5 linked regions of the Canis lupus familiaris genome follow. The protein of the gene in region 1 purifies or fractionates together with the protein of each later gene. This does not show direct contact. Links are inferred from orthologs where the notes say so. Each region holds a gene or a part of one and is shown in the gene's direction. Other genes may lie near its edges. The genes, in order: KPNA6, KPNB1, CHD8, HDAC1 and RNMT.

Evidence for each region.
Region 2: the proteins of KPNA6 (region 1) and KPNB1 purify together in Homo sapiens (affinity purification with mass spectrometry; 4 studies listed by BioGRID and IntAct, with this or other methods). This does not show direct contact. The link is inferred for Canis lupus familiaris from reciprocal best matches to the Homo sapiens genes KPNA6 and KPNB1.
Region 3: the proteins of KPNA6 (region 1) and CHD8 purify together in Homo sapiens (affinity purification with mass spectrometry; 4 studies listed by BioGRID and IntAct, with this or other methods). This does not show direct contact. The link is inferred for Canis lupus familiaris from reciprocal best matches to the Homo sapiens genes KPNA6 and CHD8.
Region 4: the proteins of KPNA6 (region 1) and HDAC1 purify together in Homo sapiens (affinity purification with mass spectrometry; 3 studies listed by BioGRID and IntAct, with this or other methods). This does not show direct contact. The link is inferred for Canis lupus familiaris from reciprocal best matches to the Homo sapiens genes KPNA6 and HDAC1.
Region 5: the proteins of KPNA6 (region 1) and RNMT purify together in Homo sapiens (co-immunoprecipitation; 3 studies listed by BioGRID and IntAct, counting the BioPlex papers as one, with this or other methods). This does not show direct contact. The link is inferred for Canis lupus familiaris from reciprocal best matches to the Homo sapiens genes KPNA6 and RNMT.

The regions. Positions count from the first base shown.
Region 1 is NC_049223.1:68,434,556-68,438,070, reverse strand, and holds part of KPNA6 (importin subunit alpha-7), read left to right. Parts: intron 1-465; coding exon 466-597; intron 598-1,824; coding exon 1,825-1,913; intron 1,914-3,404; coding exon 3,405-3,504; intron 3,505-3,515. UniProt on the Homo sapiens protein: Functions in nuclear protein import as an adapter protein for nuclear receptor KPNB1. Binds specifically and directly to substrates containing either a simple or bipartite NLS motif.
Region 2 is NC_049230.1:23,971,770-23,975,284, forward strand, and holds part of KPNB1 (importin subunit beta-1), read left to right. Parts: intron 1-252; coding exon 253-400; intron 401-717; coding exon 718-789; intron 790-1,998; coding exon 1,999-2,143; intron 2,144-3,344; coding exon 3,345-3,427; intron 3,428-3,515.
Region 3 is NC_049236.1:18,615,706-18,619,855, reverse strand, and holds the start of CHD8 (chromodomain-helicase-DNA-binding protein 8), read left to right. Parts: upstream 1-1,338; 5' UTR 1,339-1,458; intron 1,459-1,984; exon of another isoform or gene 1,985-2,216; coding exon of another isoform or gene 2,217-2,412; intron 2,413-4,150. UniProt on the Homo sapiens protein: ATP-dependent chromatin-remodeling factor, it slides nucleosomes along DNA; nucleosome sliding requires ATP. Acts as a transcription repressor by remodeling chromatin structure and recruiting histone H1 to target genes.
Region 4 is NC_049223.1:68,298,499-68,301,039, reverse strand, and holds the end of HDAC1 (histone deacetylase 1), read left to right. Parts: intron 1-17; coding exon 18-148; intron 149-427; coding exon 428-580; intron 581-1,094; coding exon 1,095-1,143; intron 1,144-1,417; coding exon 1,418-1,445; 3' UTR 1,446-2,032; downstream 2,033-2,541. UniProt on the Homo sapiens protein: Histone deacetylase that catalyzes the deacetylation of lysine residues on the N-terminal part of the core histones (H2A, H2B, H3 and H4).
Region 5 is NC_049222.1:24,608,175-24,612,323, reverse strand, and holds the start of RNMT (mRNA cap guanine-N7 methyltransferase), read left to right. Parts: upstream 1-1,343; 5' UTR 1,344-1,428; intron 1,429-1,805; exon of another isoform or gene 1,806-1,992; intron 1,993-2,433; exon of another isoform or gene 2,434-2,637; intron 2,638-2,899; 5' UTR 2,900-2,938; intron 2,939-3,657; 5' UTR 3,658-3,699; coding exon 3,700-4,119; intron 4,120-4,149. UniProt on the Homo sapiens protein: Catalytic subunit of the mRNA-capping methyltransferase RNMT:RAMAC complex that methylates the N7 position of the added guanosine to the 5'-cap structure of mRNAs. Binds RNA containing 5'-terminal GpppC.

The DNA.
Region 1 (3,515 bases):
ACCCTGGGGCAAAGGCAGGTGCTTAACCACTGAGCATCCCAGGCATCCCTTTTTTTAAAAATTTGTTTTTAAATAAAGATTTTTATTTGTAAGTAATCACTTAAGTGTAGTGATTACTCACAACCCCAAGATCAAGAATTGCATGCTCCACTGACTGAAACCAGCCAGGTGCCCCTGCTTTTTGCTATTTAAAAAGTAAGAGGAAGTAGTTCCTGTGTGGTGGCTCAGTCATTTGAGAATCCAACTCTGTCTCAACTCAGGTCTTGATCTCAGAGTCGTAAGTTCAAGCCCTGCATTAGGCTCCATGCTGGATATGGAGGCTACTTAAGATAAAAATAAGGGGGAAGAGGAAAAGGCTCATATTTTAGTTTTTTGGTCAGGGGCAAGAGGCTTACAGCTCTCAACCAGCTGCAGACATGGCCACTCTGGAATGATCTCTGAATAGCGGTCTGATCTCACTTGCAGTTTGAAGCTGCCTGGGCTCTAACGAACATTGCCTCTGGAACCTCTCAGCAGACGAAGATTGTCATTGAAGCAGGGGCAGTCCCCATTTTTATAGAGCTGCTTAACTCGGACTTTGAGGATGTACAGGAACAGGTAACGCCCAAATTTGGCTTAATTCCTGATGGTACCTATATTATAATTTTAAAAAGTTTGGTTTTTGTACCCAGTTCCTAAAAACTACTAAAAACCTTGGAATTTTCTGAGTGAAGAGTGTGTTTTTTATTATTTATGATGGAACACACCTAATGAGATGATTGAGTGGGGCCCCTAGGCAACCTCAACATGAGGAGAGTAGTTATCAGAACTCCCAGCTCTACCAATGCCTCTATCCCAGCCTCCTGCAGAGAAATTCTGGGTTGGTGAACACATTGGTGTGGTGCCCTAGAGAGGGGATGGAAGTTCCATACCGCCCTGACTGCTCACCCCATACCTTGCCCTATGCATCTCTTCCATTTAGCTCTTCTGAGCTGTATCCATTAGAGTAAGCTAGTAAATGTAAGCAGTTTTTCCCTGAGTTCTGTGAATCATTCTAGTGAATTACTGAACCTAAGAAGGGAATTATGGGAACTTTTGAATTTATAGCCAGTTGGTCAGAAGCATGGCAACACTTGGGAATTGCAACTGGTGTCTTTTTTTGTTTGTTTGTTTTTTGTTTTTTTTGCAACTGGTGTCTGAAGTGGAGACAGTCTCATGGGCCTGAGCCCTTAACCTGTAGGGTCTGCACTAAGTCTAAGAGTGTCACAATTGAGTTGGATTGTTGGACATACAAATGGTGTTGGAGAATTGATTGCTGGTGTAGAAAAAAACTCCACATATTTGGCATCAGAGGTGGTATTGGGGGGAAAAAAACAAAAACATCACAGTACCCATTTATCAGTACCTAGATATCACAGTGATTAAGACAACTTAATTTCTTCCAGTGGATTTTTACTGATTGGATAGAATGTAGAACGTGGCGCCTAGATTTTTTTTTTTTCCTCACTTACTACATATAGGATAGATCCTGTGAGGCTGCAGGAATGCAACTTCTCACTTTCTCTTTTTTCTGGGAAGTAGGCATAGGGAGGTCTTGGTTTGGCTTCTTTGGCTGCAGTACGGATGTCAGCCTGTCTTTCCCACTAAATCAGAAATTCTCCGAGGAAAGACCTTCATAGAGCAAGCTCAGTAAGGACGTCAGCAAAGAGAGGACCTGATCCTGTTCAGGATATCTCAGGCCTCGATATGGTTTTTGTCTAAGTTATTGGTGTGTCCTCACTCTTGTATAAAATATGGACAGAAGCCATTTGTCTCTGCATGACAGTTCCATCATCCCCTTTTCAGGCAGTCTGGGCACTGGGAAACATAGCTGGAGACAGCTCCGTTTGCCGAGATTACGTCTTGAACTGTTCCATCCTTAATCCTTTGTTAACGTGAGTAATTATGATCATCTATACCTGGGACATCATCTATAAGGCAGCCATGTGGTAGATCCTTTGGGGGCAGCTTACCTTAAGATGTTAAGTAAATGCAAAAAAACACTAAAAGTATTTCTTTTTGAGAGTAAGAAGATTGTGCCACTGGTCTGTGCCAAGGAGGAGCTTCTGTTTCCTTTCTTCATTGCACAGTAGATTCTCATGTTGGTCATACTTACTTGCCTCATTGTTGAGCCAGGAGAGAGAGGCAAGACTAACCCATATAGAAAAATGCAACTTTCTCTACAGATGCATTAATTTGTTATTTTATGCCTAGGTACATTGGAGAGCTCTGTTGTAAACCACAGATTAAAGACACCATGAAAGGACATAGGGGGATCCCTGGGTGGCGCAGCGGTTTAGCGCCTGCCTTTGGCCCAGGGCACGGTCCTGGAGACCCGGGATCGAATCCCACATCGGGCTCCTGGTGCATGGAGCCTGCTTCTCCCTCTGCCTATGTCTCTGCCTCTCTCTCTCTGTGACTATCATTAAAAAAAAAAAAAAAAAAGACATAGGGATCCTTCTCCAATCCCTCCCTCCCATACCCTTCAAATAGAGTATCTAAACAATAGATGGGATAAGCTGTTCTTTTTTTTTTTTTTTAAGATTTATTTATTTATTCATTAAGAGAGAGCGAGAGAGAGGCAGAGACACAGGCAGAGGGAGTAGCAGGCTCCATGCAGGAAGCCCGATGTGGGACTCGATCCAGGGTCTCCAGGATCATACTCCGGGCTGCAGGGGGCGCTAAACCGCTGCGCCACCAGGGCTGCCCAGGGATGAGCTGTTCTTCAGAGACTACCACTATAACTCTTTCTTGGGCCTTTCACAGAAAGTCATTGCTTACTGCATGGCTAAAGCCCTTATACTAGATATTCAGCATTGATTTCCAAAGAGAACAGTATACTCGTCGTTTAAAACTTGTGGCCATTTAGGGGGATCCCTGGGTGGCGCAGCGGTTTGGCGCCTGCCTTTGGCCCAGGGCACGATCCTGGAGACCCGGGATCGAATCCCACGTCGGGCTTCCGGTGCATGGAGCCTGCTTCTCCCTCTGTCTGTGTCTCTGCCTCTCTCTCTTTCTCTCTCTGTGACTATCATAAATAAATAAACATTAAAAAAAAAAAAAAAAAAAAAAAAAACTTGTGGCCATTTAGGAGCACAATATGCCCTATCTTAAAAAGGTTTGCAGTCTTACTCAACTTCCAGCTTGCTCTTTGTCCTTACAAGCTATGGTCCTAACTAGCCACAGCTGGTTCTAATCCTCTGTGAAGGTGTAGATTGGCCTCTTGGCCCAAACAAGCTTAGTTTACTTAGGTCTGTGGGTAGAAGAACACAGTGAGGCTGCCAGAGTCTTAGGGGTCTTACTGGATTTGCTCCTGGGGTTCATAGGTGACAGCCCCATGCCAAGGTCATCATTGCTCAGGATCTGTCTGGCTTTGCTGTTTCCTTCAGACTCCTTACTAAGTCCACAAGACTGACAATGACACGGAATGCAGTCTGGGCTCTATCAAACCTCTGCAGAGGAAAGAACCCACCCCCAGAGTTTGCAAAGGTGAGAGAGTT
Region 2 (3,515 bases), on another chromosome or scaffold:
CCATAATTTTAGTCCCATTTCCACAGAGCCATTCTAAAGTGTAACCGAGCCTGGAGATCCATAGTAAATAGAGCCATTGGCTCAGTAGTTGAAAATTTGGTTCCTGGTTGTATTGTGTTGCCAAACTCCAACCATATTTACAACCGTATTGGTTTCTGGATTCCTTATTTTCTGTGAGACAAGATTTACATCATAACAACTCTATTCTTTTTCAGGTAAGACTTTTAGATTGTTGTTGTGTGTTCTTTACAGACCTGATGGACACCAGAACAACCTGAGGAGTTCTGCATATGAATCTCTGATGGAAATTGTGAAAAACAGTGCCAAGGATTGTTATCCCGCGGTTCAGAAAACTACTCTGGTTATCATGGAGCGACTGCAGCAGGTGCTTCAGATGGAGGTGAGGCTGGTGTGAGGCTGGTATGGCGGGGGCATATGCTCTCTTGGTGGTATTGACGTTTACGTGGAAGTATGTATTTTTTCAGAAAGATAGAAGGCTTATACAAAATAATACCACTAAAAATCTGCTTTGCTCATCCCAATTTACTCCTACACGCTTCACACCATACACATATGTAAGTTTTTTATTTCCGACAAGCATCAGTAAAGATTATTTGATGGTCCTGGCAAACCCAGCAAAAACAGAAGCACTAAAGGAGTTTAGAACTCTTTTAGAGGGTGTTTATTCAGAATATGACAATGTTCTTTTCCTTGTAGTCCCACATCCAGAGCACATCCGACAGGATCCAATTCAATGACCTTCAGTCTTTGCTCTGTGCCACTCTTCAGGTATGACGGTGCTTTATCACTTACTGATGCTGATCAGAAACTCTTCTCAAAAGGTCTTCATCTGTGGTTGATTGGGAGAGAGATTTTTTATTTTCCTTTCTTCTTTGTCCATAAAGACAGACTTTGTCTTTTGCAGTAGGGAAGGCAACTACTTGGTTTGTGACAGTCCTCCCAGCTGTACAGCTATTTTGTGCTGGCAGCTTCTAGTCTTTGGTTTTTATTGGGTTGTCCAAATGTAGCCCAGTCAGATCTGATTTCCAGCTGCGGTTCACTCAGCTAAAAATATAGCCTTGAGTTTCTATCATCATATTCTGAAACAACAGTTCCTACTGGAAACTTTATTATAATTTAAATCCTTTATAGTACCTGTTGTTCAGAATAGACTTTTTTGAGGGGAGGCTGGAAAAACTAAAATCACTCCTCATTCATGACTGGACTCCTGGATGGAGTGACTGAGGTGCTGTTCCCCTTTTTACCAAAGATCAGGAAACCCTAGAACATGTCTATCGCTTAGGGGGATACTAGGTTTTAGTATTGAGTGATGCTAACTTGGTCATCTTCCCTGTACATCTCCTTTCTCTTTCTTACCCAAACGTAAAAAAAAAAAAAAAAAAAAAAAAAACAGTCTGTTTTTTTAATATCTTGACTGTTAAGATCTTTCCTTAGTCATCAAATACAGGAATGATCTGGTAACATTAGTTGAAACAAATTAAAGAGTAAGGAGGGAGGTGTGAGGAATATTGAATTAGGGGAATTCAGGTTGGCTTTACTTTACCAGAACTGTTTCTTGACCGTCATAAGTAAATAAGATACAGGAAGGATTGCTTTCTTGTTTTATGAGTAAGAACTATATAACCTGTCCTTCTTTAAAGCTGAAAGAAATTCAACTGCCTTTCCAAAAGACTACAATATGGAGACTGCTAATGGGTGTGTCAGACATAAATGAAATGGAGAAGAGATAGCTTTATGTACCATGGTAGATTATCTTGTCTTCATTCTGAATTGGGAAATAGAAGGGTATTAAAATGTATGTTTTGTTGCAGAAGATTTACACTGCGAAAGCTTTTGAGCACAAAAAGTGTGTTTGTTTGGCCCTTCCAAAAAAAAGTCACAGGGCTTAATTGATTTTTTAGAAAGGTATATATATATATAGCATTCTGATTGGAGGGTTTGGAATCAACAGATCCTGAACTCTTGTTCACTTCACAGAATGTTCTCCGGAAAGTACAACATCAAGATGCTTTGCAGATCTCTGATGTGGTCATGGCCTCCCTGTTGAGGATGTTCCAAAGCACAGCTGGGTCTGGGGGAGTGCAAGAGGATGCCCTAATGGCAGTTAGCACACTGGTGGAAGGTCAGTGAGCCAAAATTGGGCAGGGAATGTCTTTAGAATGTAAGAGTTTCCAGCAGCCATGGGGCACTTTTGATCACAGAAAGCATGGTCCCGTCTTCTCTTTTACTGAGGCATGACTTGAGGGCAAAATTGGATTGAATGTAAGTGTAAATTTATGCACAAGTGCCCTGCTGCTCTCCTTGAAATAAATGGAGAGCCAGCCGCAACTCAGATTGGCGAGTTTTTTGGGGAAAACAGTTATCATCTACCTCTTATTTGTTGGGTTCATTTTTCCTCTGAAAGTCTACTTGCTTTATTGAGATTTGGCTCCTTTCCAAGGATAGAGGAAACAAAGGTTTCTATTTTCTTCTTGGCACTTGGTACCTCCTGGTTTGGGTTATAATACTTTGAACTTCCATGTTGACACATCCTCATGCTCCATATGGGATGGAGTGAAAAACTGAGAGTTCTAAGAATTAACTGGTCTTCTGGTTGTTCTATGTTTGACTCTACAAAATCGCATTGGGGAATCCATGTCTGCTTAAGATTCTTTGAAGGGCCATTAGAAGCACATTAAAGAGCTCTTAAGAAACCTGAGATGCTTCTTCAGGGTTGGCCTGGATGGTGTATGACCAAAGCTATTACCTGAGGACCAGACCTATTTCTAGCATTAGGAGCATATGTTCAACTGAGAGTTGATCTGGCCACATGTAACTACCCTGATAGGGCACAGAAGTTCACTTTGGCTCCTGGAGTGGCTAATTGAGCAAAAAGTCCAGTCTGCTTTCCCTGGCTAGCTTGTTAAATAAATCCTTGATGGAATTGCCCAAGGATGGACCCTGTTTTAAAGCTGGCCGCCAGAGAAGACATGTTGCGTAAACAGATGAAGGAGGTAGCCAAAGAGGCAGTGTTATTAGCTCATCCAATTCAAAATTAACCCTTGAGAAAAAAAAAACCCTTGGTTGGCTGGTTGGGTTTAGCCAAAGTGAAATCCCACTCTAGAGATTTGGCATTATCTTCAGGACATAAGAGTTAGGCCTTTCTAGCACTTAGGAATTTGACTTGTCTGAGATAACCTGTCTTCATGATAGAATCCACAGTTAACTTACACTTCACCTGCCCAACCTGTTGAGTGGAATAAATATGTTTTGAGAGAGCAGGCATGGTTACTTTTGCTTACTTCTGTGATACCCTGTGATGCTAATAGTTTGTTTCTTTACAGTGTTGGGTGGTGAATTCCTAAAGTACATGGAGGCCTTTAAACCCTTCCTGGGCATTGGATTGAAAAATTATGCTGAGTACCAGGTAATCTATGCTTTTTAAAAGGATATTTATATTCTTTATATTCTTATTTATTCCTGATAACTACCTCATGGTTCAAAGTCCAGGTAGT
Region 3 (4,150 bases), on another chromosome or scaffold:
GGGTGCCGAGATTACTTAAAAAAAAAAAAAAAAATTTAAACTTAAAAGAACCCCAGAACACTCCTAACCTTCTATACTTGGGTATTTCATCCATGTAAGGGAAGCATGAGGAAAGTTACTTGGGCAAATTCATGACCTCTATTGATCGTTGCTGGTGATCAGAGACACGGTCATGGTCATGAAACATGATAGGAAGTAGATTCCCCAGCCCGTGTGAAGAAGGGGAGGTCTGATGAGGGCATGCTTGGCTGTCAAAGGCCAGCACCGGGGCACACGTCCGGCTCAGGTGATAGAGAAAGGTACTCTTTTTTTAAGAATATATTTTATTTATTTATTTGTTCATGAGAGACACACAGAGAAAGGCAGAGACAAAGGCGGAAGGAGAAGCAGGCTCCACGCAGGGGGCCCGACGCGGGACTCGATCTCGGGACCCCGGGGTCCCGGGAAACGGACTGTTGATCTCGGGGTCCTGAGTTCAGGCCCCACCTTGGGAAAACTTGGAAAAGGAGGAGGTGGGGCCGCTGGGGTCCCGCTCGGGGCGAGCCGTGCAGCCCGGTACTTACAGGTCTCCGCGGGCGGAGGCCTCCTGGGCAGGCCGTCCCCTCCCCTATCGCCCACCGCGGCTTCCTGCGGCGGGCCTCGTTCGGGCCGAAGACGCAAACTAGACACGGTCGGTGCTCCCTCCACCCAAGCTGGTGGCCGGGGCTCCCGGGCCGCGGGGCGCGCTGCCTCGACCGCGGCCCCGCCCGCGCCATCCCCCACGTGACCTGGGGCTCCGCGGGCCGGAAGTGCCCCCAGCGGGCCCCGGGGCGGCGGGGGCACGGAGGGTCACCCTGTGGCTGCGCGGGAACCCGTTCGCATTCCAAAATAAATAAATAAATAAATACTGTTTTTAGTGCTGCCGTGACGCGTGGGTCTCCTCCCTCCCACGGTGGGGGGGCCGCCGCCGACCGCACCGGGCCCCGCTCCCGACCGCCCGGCCGGACCGCACAAAGCACGTCGGCTCGGCCCGCCCCGGCTTCCGCGTCCCCGCGGCCCGACCCAAGATGGCCGCCCCCGCTCGGGGCCAGGCCGCGCGGCCCGCAGCGCCCCCAGCGGTGGCGGGCGGGGGCGCAGCTGGCGGGGGCCCGCACGCCCGCGAGCCGAGCAGCAGGGCCCGCGGCCGCCAGATCTTATTTCCACTCAGGCACATCCGTGGTTGCCTACGTACCCCTCTAGGCCCTGCAGGACCTCCCCGCCTCCGGGGACTTCCGGGATGGCGCTCACACTACCTTGCTGGGGGGCGGGGCCGGCCCTGCCATTGGCAGGCGGCCCGGAGGTGGGCGAGGCCTGCGGCGTACGGACTGCCAGCAAGCTAGGTTGAGGCGAGGGCTGGCCATGCTCCGCCGGAAGGCGCCTTGTTCTCCGACGCGGTGAGGGGAAGCGCTGGCTGGCAGGGACGCTGCAGGACTGGCTCAGGTAGGGCTCCTGCTCGCGCCGGCTCGTCAGCGCTGCGCCGGGGGCCCCTGCGCGGCCGCGGCGCCCGGGGCGGGCCCCTGGGAGCCCCCGGCCCGCCCGCGCCGCGCTCCCCGCTCCCCGCGCCGCCGGGGCGTGAGGGGTCAGGCGCAGGGGGCTGCTCCGGGCCGCCCCCTTCTCTTTGTGAGGGGCCGGGGGGCGCCGGGGCCTGTCAGCGCGTCCCGGGCGTGGTGCGCGCTGGCGGCGGCGACGAGACCCCCCGGCTCCCGGGTCACCGCGCTTTGGACCCAGAAGTGGGAGGTCAGGGTGGTTGTGGTGGCTTTTTTTTTTTTTTTCGTTTCTTTCTTTTTCTTTTTTTTTTTTCTCTCTCTCTCTTGTTTGTTGGTTTTGTTCCGACGATGGAGGTGGGTCGGAAAGCTCGGGGCGGGCCGGCGCCTTCGTTGCCGGTTACCGGGTGCGAGCACCGCGGGGGTGCGTGTGGAGAGGCGGCGGCGACAGGGCCGCTCAGGCCTCGCGTCTCCGTTGACAGGTCCGCAGAGCCCGCGGGGCCCGGCCTGGCGTTATGTAAACTCTTCCCGGGCCGGAGACCCCTCCCCCTGCCTCGGAGCGGATGCCGGCCCTTCGTTTACCTGTGTCTAGTGTCACAGAGAATTTTCCAGCCATTGCAGCCTCAGCAGCAGCAGCAGCAGCAGCAGCAGCTCTTGCCTTTAAGCGGCGGTCGCGAAGGGAGGAAGGTCTTCCGAGGAGTGCAAGGCAGGTGCATGCATGTCCAGCGGGTCGGCCGTTTCTCCCAGCGACTGAGCGTAGGGAGCTGGGAGTCGGAGACCTGGAGCTCCATGAGGCGTCCTGGCGCAGGGCTCCAGACCCCAGCGCGGCCAGGCTCTCCTGCATCCTCCCCTCACAACCGGCATCCACACACGATCGCTCTCCTCTGTTGCTCCGGGCCTGTCAGCTCAGGTAGGGATTCCCTGGCCTGTCCGGTTCGGGACCCTCGAGACGCCGGAGGGCTCTGTCAGTTAATGAGCTACCGTCTTCTGCCCGGGAATTTCGTTGGTAGGGCTCACCAAACAGGCTTCCAAGAAAATCGTGGTGTTTTGGACTCATCCCACCTCCTTTAAAACGGGTTCCTAAAGAAAACATTATTCTGTATAAGGAGACCAAGAGGGGCAAGGCATGAGGAAGGCCGCGGGCCAAAGAGAGGGTAGGCGTGTGCGGTGCATCAGGCCCCGGGGAAGGTGTAACACCGGAGCAGGGATTCGATGGAATAGCATGTGGGTACTTGCACAACTCACACCTCCCGCAGGTGTGGTCCGACCTGTGCATCTGGCCTTTTGATTTTGTCCGTTCCCAAATTGACAGAATCCACTTATTTAGACGTGGATAGAAAAGGCTAGAAATGGAAAGCAATTTGAGTTGCTGTGAATCGCCAGGAAACGTAGATGTATTTTCTGGGATAGCCTCTGCAGCGCCAGCAGATGACTGGGTGGGGAAATCTCGGCTTTGTGGTCACCACCATTGCAGGGGTTTGGTTAGAAGAGGAAAGAGCTTTGACACTTAATATGAGGGGTCTGACAGGTAGGATAGTTGCCCCGTAGTCAAGGTAGGATGGTGAGGCGAGTCAGTCTTTAAAAGAGACTGTTGTACCCATCTCTTTTGACGAGGGGGAGTTTTTTTTGTTTTGTTTTGTTTTGTTTTAAGCTAAACTACCACTTAAGATTACTGTGTGGGTGCGGAGAACTACACTTGTTTACTGAAAGAATGAGATTTGATATTATCATCTGTGGAAGGACCGTAACGTTTGTAGAACACAGAGATGATCGTTAATGCTTCCAAGATACTGTTTGTCCACCGCCCTGCAAGAGTCCAGCTGTCTTCTGAGCCTGCATTGACCTGATACCTGGAGGATAAACAACTCAGATATTTTCTGGCCCCGCATCCTTAACCCTAAGGGTCACGCCACTTCTGAACCTGCATTTGGGCAAGTCCCGGATCTGCAGGTCTTTGCATGACCTGCCTTGCACGACTGTGACGGACCTAGTATTTACTGTTTTACCATTAGCAGTCGATTCAATAATATAGCATCATTTCTCATTTTTCTTGGCTTAACTTTATATATATTTTTTTCAATTAATTTTTTATTCTTTTTCCTCACAAAGTTGGTGGTCTTCCTTTCATCCTCCTGTTACAATTTTGTGCCCTTTACTTTTTGTTTTTAATTCACTACTATTGGGGCTTTTTTTTGCTTCTAACTGAAGCTTCTTCTTTTTTTCTTTTCTTTTTTTTTAAGATTTTATTTATTTACTCATGAGAGACACAGAGAATGAGGCAGAGATACAGGCAGAGGGAGAAGCAGCCTCCGTGCAGGGAGCCCAAAGTGGGACTTGATCTGGGGAGTCCAGGATCACCCCCTGAGCCAAAGGCAGATGCTCAACCTGCTGAGCCACCCAGGCATCCCTGTTGAGGCTTTTTTTTTTTTTTTTTAATTTTTTATTTATTTATGATAGTCACAGAGAGAGAGAGAGGCAGAAACACAGGCAGAGGGAGAAGCAGGCTCCATGCACCGGGAGCCCGACGTGGGATTTGATTCCGGGTCTCCAGGATCACGCCCCGGGCCAAAGGCAGGTGCTAAACCACTGCGCCACCCAGGGATCCCCTGTTGAGGCTTTTTTTTTTTTTTTTTTTTAAGATTTTATTT
Region 4 (2,541 bases), about 140 kb from region 1:
TCTACCATTGGCCATAGACAGCGACTGTTTGAGAACCTGAGAATGCTGCCCCACGCACCTGGGGTCCAAATGCAGGTGATTCCTGAGGATGCCATTCCAGAGGAGAGTGGCGACGAGGACGAAGAAGACCCTGACAAGCGCATCTCTAGTAAGACCCAGATCCGGGGGCGGTACCTTCCCGTTCAGTAGGTAGCTCTGGCTTCCCACCCCTGTTCTTGGTTCCATGTTCCTCCTAAGCTACTCATCTGTTGAGAAACCCATGTTCTAGTTCTTGGGACAATTTAGGGAGTCTGAGTTTCCTTCCCCTCTTCTTAGTCACCCCCTTCCCTTGGTGTCTCTTGGAGGACACACAGGGAAGCACTGGGCACAGACCTTGAGGTAAAGCTGATCTCCTGCTGTCTCACTTACATTTCCCATTGCCTCCCAGTCTGTTCATCTGACAAACGAATTGCCTGTGAGGAAGAGTTCTCGGACTCTGATGAGGAGGGAGAAGGTGGTCGTAAGAACTCTTCCAACTTCAAAAAAGCCAAGAGAGTCAAAACTGAGGACGAAAAAGAGAAAGACCCAGAAGAGAAGAAAGGTGGGTTTGGGTCATGCCCAGACTTGGGTCTTGAGCCCCAGGCCCCAGAGGAGGATGAATGTATGTAGGGCTCTAGGAGGGAGCTGACTCAGGCCCTGCCTTCTGTTGGGGTTCTGCCTCCACCCCCAGAAACAGCAGGACCCACAAAAGAATGAAATTCAATTTGTTATCTGCACTGGCCGGTTGAGCCCTGCCAGGCTCCAGAGCCAGGGACATGCCTAGTCTCCCCATGGTCAGGAGTGTGGCTCTCACACACCACCCAAGCCCCTTTCCCAGTGCTTCACCCCAGGTTCCCAGGGGGCTGCCCCCGCCCACCGGGTTCAGGCACTAGCAGGCTGGGAAACCGGTCCAACCTGTTTGTTCTCTGCAGGGCTCAAGGGGGAGGGCCTGGGATGGGCTTTTCTCTTTTGTATGTCCAGTGAGCTGTGTTGGGGAAGGGGGTTCAGCCTAAGTGAAGATTCCATGGGTCTTTCTGGAGGGGAGCCTTGGCCATCCCTGCACTCTTATGTTCTAGAAGTCACAGAAGAGGAGAAAACCAAGGAGGAGAAGCAAGAAGCCAAAGGGTGAGGAAGGAGCTGTCGGCCATCTCCCTGGCATTGGAGCACCAGCCCCTTTGTCCGCCCTGCCGAGGGAGGCGCAGGGACAGCTGGTGCAGCTTACAAAGACCTCTTTCAGGGACCAGTCTGTCTGTCTCTGCAGTTCTAGGCAGAGCTAGGAAGCCCCAGCCCTCGGCAGTCACCTGGGCAGCTGGGGTCCTATAGAAGTCATTGTCCCCGTATTTTTGCCTCCAGGCCTCTGGGGCACGTTATCTCATGCCAGTCTCTGCTCTCTCCACAGGGTCAAGGAGGAGGTCAAGTTGGCCTGAGCAGACCTCTCCAGTTCTGGTTTCCTGCCAAGTTCCCCACCTTTCTCCCACAACCCCTCAGATTTTATATTTTCTATTTCTCTGTGTATTTATATAAAAATATATTAAATATAAATATCCCCAGGGACTAGACAGGAACCAGGGCCCTGAGCCTAGGGCACACATTATGAGTGAGCTTTTCTAGTGGCTGCCTCGCCACCCATCCTTCCCCAGTTCTTAATTTTGAACCATAAAGGGTACCGGTTCTGGAAGGCATGCTTTTAAGCAGCCATAGGACAAAATCCAGAAATGCCAAGTGCCTGCTTCGTAGCTTTGGAAAGGTGCCCTCATTGAGCATTCTAGGAGTGGCTGGGTCTTCTGGGACCCTCCCATCAGGCTCCTTAAGGTAACATCAGCCATTTTTAGATTGGTTCTCTTATCATACCTTCCCACTGGCCCCATGTGAGCCAAGGAACTCACTGCCTGCCCTCTATCCTTGCCCAGTTCTGCAGGTGGAGATTGATAAGTCAGGTATCCTTTTTTGAGATACTATTTTCATTTTCATGAGAATCTTTGTAATAAAATGGTACATTTCTACATCCTCCTGAGCTTGTCTCCTAGCAGTATCCCTGGGTTGATTTCAACTCCACTTCCCTGCCCTTCTCGTGTCCAGGAGAATCTGGGCAACTCCATGAACAAGGAAACAACCCCACAAACTTAACCTTCACCCTAATCCCTCCCACAAGGGTTGAGGTTAACCGATCTTCTCACCCTACCCCCAGAAGACCACTCATTAAAAAGCACTACTAAAGGGACGACATTTATTCCTTTTCCAAATGTTACAGTAAAACCAGGTGGAAGAGAATGGTTTTAGCAGTTAGAAAAAAAAAAAAAAGTACAAATCTGGGGTTTGGCCATTAAAAGTTATTTACAACAATGGGAGGGGGAAAAAAAAAGACAACAAGAAGTTGTTTCACATTACAGACCTCCCCCCCACCCCAAAGCCTAATACTTGCTTACCAAGTCAAAAAAGAGACACAGTCGATTCACAAGCTGGAGGTTTGAACTTGAGTAAGACATTTATAAAAACCTAGACAGGGGCAGTGTCCTCCCCAGC
Region 5 (4,149 bases), on another chromosome or scaffold:
ACCTGGGAAATCTAGGAGATCCCGGCAGATCTGAGAGATCTAGGAGACCAGGAGATCTGGGAGACCTGAGAGATCTGGAGATCTGGGAGACCTGAGAGACCTAGGAGATCTGGGCGACCTGGGAGATCTAGGAGACCTGGGAGACCTCCGTGACCTGGGAGATCTAGGAGACCTGGGAGATCCAAGAGATCTGGGAGACCTGGGAGACCCCAGGAGACCTGAGATCTAGGAGATCTGGGAGATCTGGGAGACCCGGGAGATCTAGGAGACCTGGGAGACCCCGGGAGATCTGAGAGATCTAGGAGACCTAGGAGATCTGGGAGACCTGAGAGACCTGGGAGATCTGGGCGACCTGGGAGATCTAGGAGACCTGGGAGATCTAGGAGATCTGGGAGATCTGGGAGACCCGGGAGATCTAGGAGACCTGGGAGACCCCGGGAGATCTAGGAGATCAGGGAGATCCCGGGAGATCTGAGAGATCTAGGAGACCTAGGAGATCTGGGAGACCTGAGAGACCTGGGAGATCAGGGCGAACTGGGAGATCCAAGAGACTGGGAGATCCAAGAGATTTGGGAGACCCCGAGAGATCTAGGAGACCTGGGAGACCCCGGAGATCCGGGAGACCCGGGAGGCCTGCGGACGTGCGGAGTCAGGCGGTCCGTCCCGTCCCCGCGGGCCGTGCCCGGCATCCCCCGGCATCCCCCGGCATCCCCCGGCATCCCCGGAGGCCGCAGGGACGAGCCAGGGCCCGCCGCCTTCGAGGACGACTCCACGGCGCGGCTCCCCGGCCCCTCGGCAGCCGTGCTCCGACGGAGAGCAGAGCGGAGGGAGGCCCGGACCGGAGCCGGCTCCAGTCCCCCAGGCCCCGCTCGGTCAGACGAGGGCGGGGGCTGCGGGGCGCGCGTGGCGGACCCCGGCCGGGGAGGGGGGGCGGGGGCGGGGGCGGCGGGGGCGCGCCCCGCGGGCAGGTGCCTGACCCCTCCCGCAGCTGTCGGCGCTCCGGGGCCCAGGCTACCTCTCAGGAGGCTGACGCCCCGCCGGGTCCCGTCCTGCCGCACGGGCCGAAAGGCAGGTCTCCGAAGCCGCGGCGGAGTCACCGGGACAGTGACCCGGTCGAGCGCGGGTCAGGGCGCCGGAAGCCACGGGGCCACCCCTCGCCGGCCCTCCCCGGCCTCCGCGGCCGCCCGCCCTCCCGCCGCGCCCACCAACGGCGTGCGTGCGGCGGCCCATGCGGCACCGCGCGCCCTCGCCAGGCCCCGCGCGCGGCACCACGGGACTCGTAGTTCCGGCGCGAGGCTCGCGCGGCGCTCGCTCCACCGGCCGGCGACCGCGGCGTCCCGGCGCCGACCCCGCCCCGGAAGTGGCGTCACAGCACGCGCGCGGCGCGGCCGGCCGCTTCCGCAAACAGAGCCGTGGCCGCCTGCGTGGGTGAGTGAGTGCGGCGCCCGGCGCTACGGCCGCTCTTTGTTTCCAGCCGCCCCGCGGCCGCCGCGGCCCCGGGGCCCCTCACTCTCGCGACGGGCCTCGCACGCGGACGGGGCGGGCCGGGGCGGGCGGGGGGCGGCGGGGCCCGGGGGCGGCGGGCGGCGGGGGGGAGGGGCGGCGCAGGTGCAGCCCCGCGAGGCCGGGCCCGTGACCTCGGGGTGCTCCGGGCGGCCGTCCGCTCGGCCCAACGGGGTCGCCCTGGGCCGCGGGGCGTCGCGGAGCCCGGGCCGCTCGGGTCGCTGCGGCCGCGGCTCCCGGAGACGGCGCCTCCGCCTCGCGCGCTCCTCCGACCCCGCTCTCCCCGGCTGGTGGCGTCGCCCTCGCCGCCTGCGCCCGGGCCCGCAGCTGCGATCCCCGGGGCCCCCCGCTGCCCGCCGCTTCCCGCCCGGAGCCCCGTAACGTTCCGGTCATGAATTTGCTGAATCTCCCCAGGCTTCGGGCTCCGGGCTCCCCCTTCTACGTTTGGTTCCGATAACACAGCCTCACGCCTTAAAACTGCTGTCTAGGGTGAAGCTTTTTTTTTTTTTTTTTTCTTAAGATTTTATTCATTCATGAGAGAGGCAGAGACACAGGTAGATGGAGACCGAGAGGCAGAGGGACACGCAGAGACACAGAGACACAGGTAGACACAGAGAGGGACAGAGACAGAGAGACAGAGACACAGGCAGAGGGAGACACAGAGAGACAGAGACAGGCAGACGGAGACACAGAGACAGAGACACAGAGGGACACGCAGAGACAGGTAGACACAGGCAGAGGGAGACACAGAGACACAGACGGAGACAGAGAGGCAGAGATACAGGCAGAGGGAGACACAGACAGGCAGAGACAGGCAGACGGAGACTCAGAGACACAGAGGGAGACACAGAGACACAGGTCAACGGAGACAGAGAGGCAGAGACACAGGCAGAGGGAGACACAGACACAGAGAGAGGCAGAGACACAGAAAGAGGGAGAGACCCAGGCAGAGGGACACACAGGCTCCCTGCAGGGAGCTCAATGCCGGCCTCCATCCTGGGACCTGGGGTCATGCTGTGGGCCGCAGGCACCGAGCCCTCGAGACCCCATGGCTGTGAGCCTCATGGACACGAATCACCCAGTGCCCTGAGGTCCTCTGTAGTAGGAAGGACAGTGGGATCATGGAACAACCTAGTAAGTCCCTGCCCCATAGCTCTTACTCCTCCATCCCTTCCATTTTACACACAGGCCCATGAGCATTTGAAGGAGACTCAATAGTAAGTTGCAGACCAGGTTTCCAGACCTCTTGTCCAAAGCTATCTCTACTCTCTTCACTTTCTAATTCAGGCTCCCACTATGAAGTAAGCATTTCAGAAGTCAACCGTCGGTTCCCAGGCTTATCCTGTTCCTGGTACCTTTAGTGTTTATGATTTCTTTCTTTTTTTTTTTATTTCAGTGTCACTAGGCCAGAAGAAACACCCCGCAGTTCCACTTAGTAAGTAGTTCAGTCTAAAGAATTTAGTATTTATGTTTTAACGACCTTGTCTAAAAACTAATACACAAATTGAAAGGAAAAAATAGTATTTGTGTCTAATTCTTAGTTAGCCCTAAGTGCTTCCTGGTGGAACGTGTACCCCTGTTGGGTACTGTCCAGTTTCTCAAGCTGTGAGATCAGATTTGACGTTGCCAACTTCGTTTGCAGTTTCACATTGATTTCATGTGGAATCCCCCAAAATACCAGCTTCGCACAAGTGCTACTGTCATTGAAAGGAATGCAGTGCTCTCTACTCCGTGGAAACTGCTCTATGTGAAGCTGTGTTGCTTAGACTTTTAGAATACCCTGCTGTACCTGTACAAGTTTGTCACAGCGTCCAGCTCACAGTTTGAGAACTCAGGCTATAAAGTAAGAATCCAAACAGAAATGGAACAAATGCTTGTGTAAGACCTACTTCATCTGTCCGTTTCAATGCCAGTAATGACTTAGGGGTAAGATCATACGTATGTTTAGGGATTATAATTAGTATTTCCATATTAAAATATTCAGAGGTTCATATGTGACATATATCAGTTAATGATTTCAGTATTCTCTCTGTAATGAGATTTATTTAAACTCCTAGCTGATTACTGAATTAAATGGCTAGCTTCTGGTTAAAATTGTTTTAAACTTTCGGCATTAGTGTTTGTATGAGTAAAATCAAATTTTTGCCATTCCAGTCTTAGTTCATGAAGTTTTGCCACCTACTTAAGTAATCAAAAATGGAAAATTCTGCAAAAGCAGAAGAGTGTGAAAAGCTCTCTCTCGAAGAGGCAAAAGCATCAAAAGATTTGGAAACAAAGTCTTCATTCAGTATTAATGAAAACACAACCACTCCTGGGACTGGACTTTCTGAAAAGGCTCCTGTCTGGGAACAAGCAGACGCACCGAAAAAGAGAAAAATGGAATTTGAAGATGATCTTATAAAGGAAAGTTCTAGTTGTGGGGAAGATACTCCAACCAAGAAAAGAAAACTTGATGCTGAAATTGTCCCAGAGGAAAAAGGTTCTGGTGATGATGAGGGCATTTCAAGGAAAAGAAGAATGGAAACTGATGATTTTCCAAAAGATGAATCTTCTACTGGAGATGGCACACAGAAGAAGAGAAAAATAGAACTTGAGGATGTTCCTGAAAAGCAAAAAGTATGTTGAATGTATTTATTTTTTATTCAT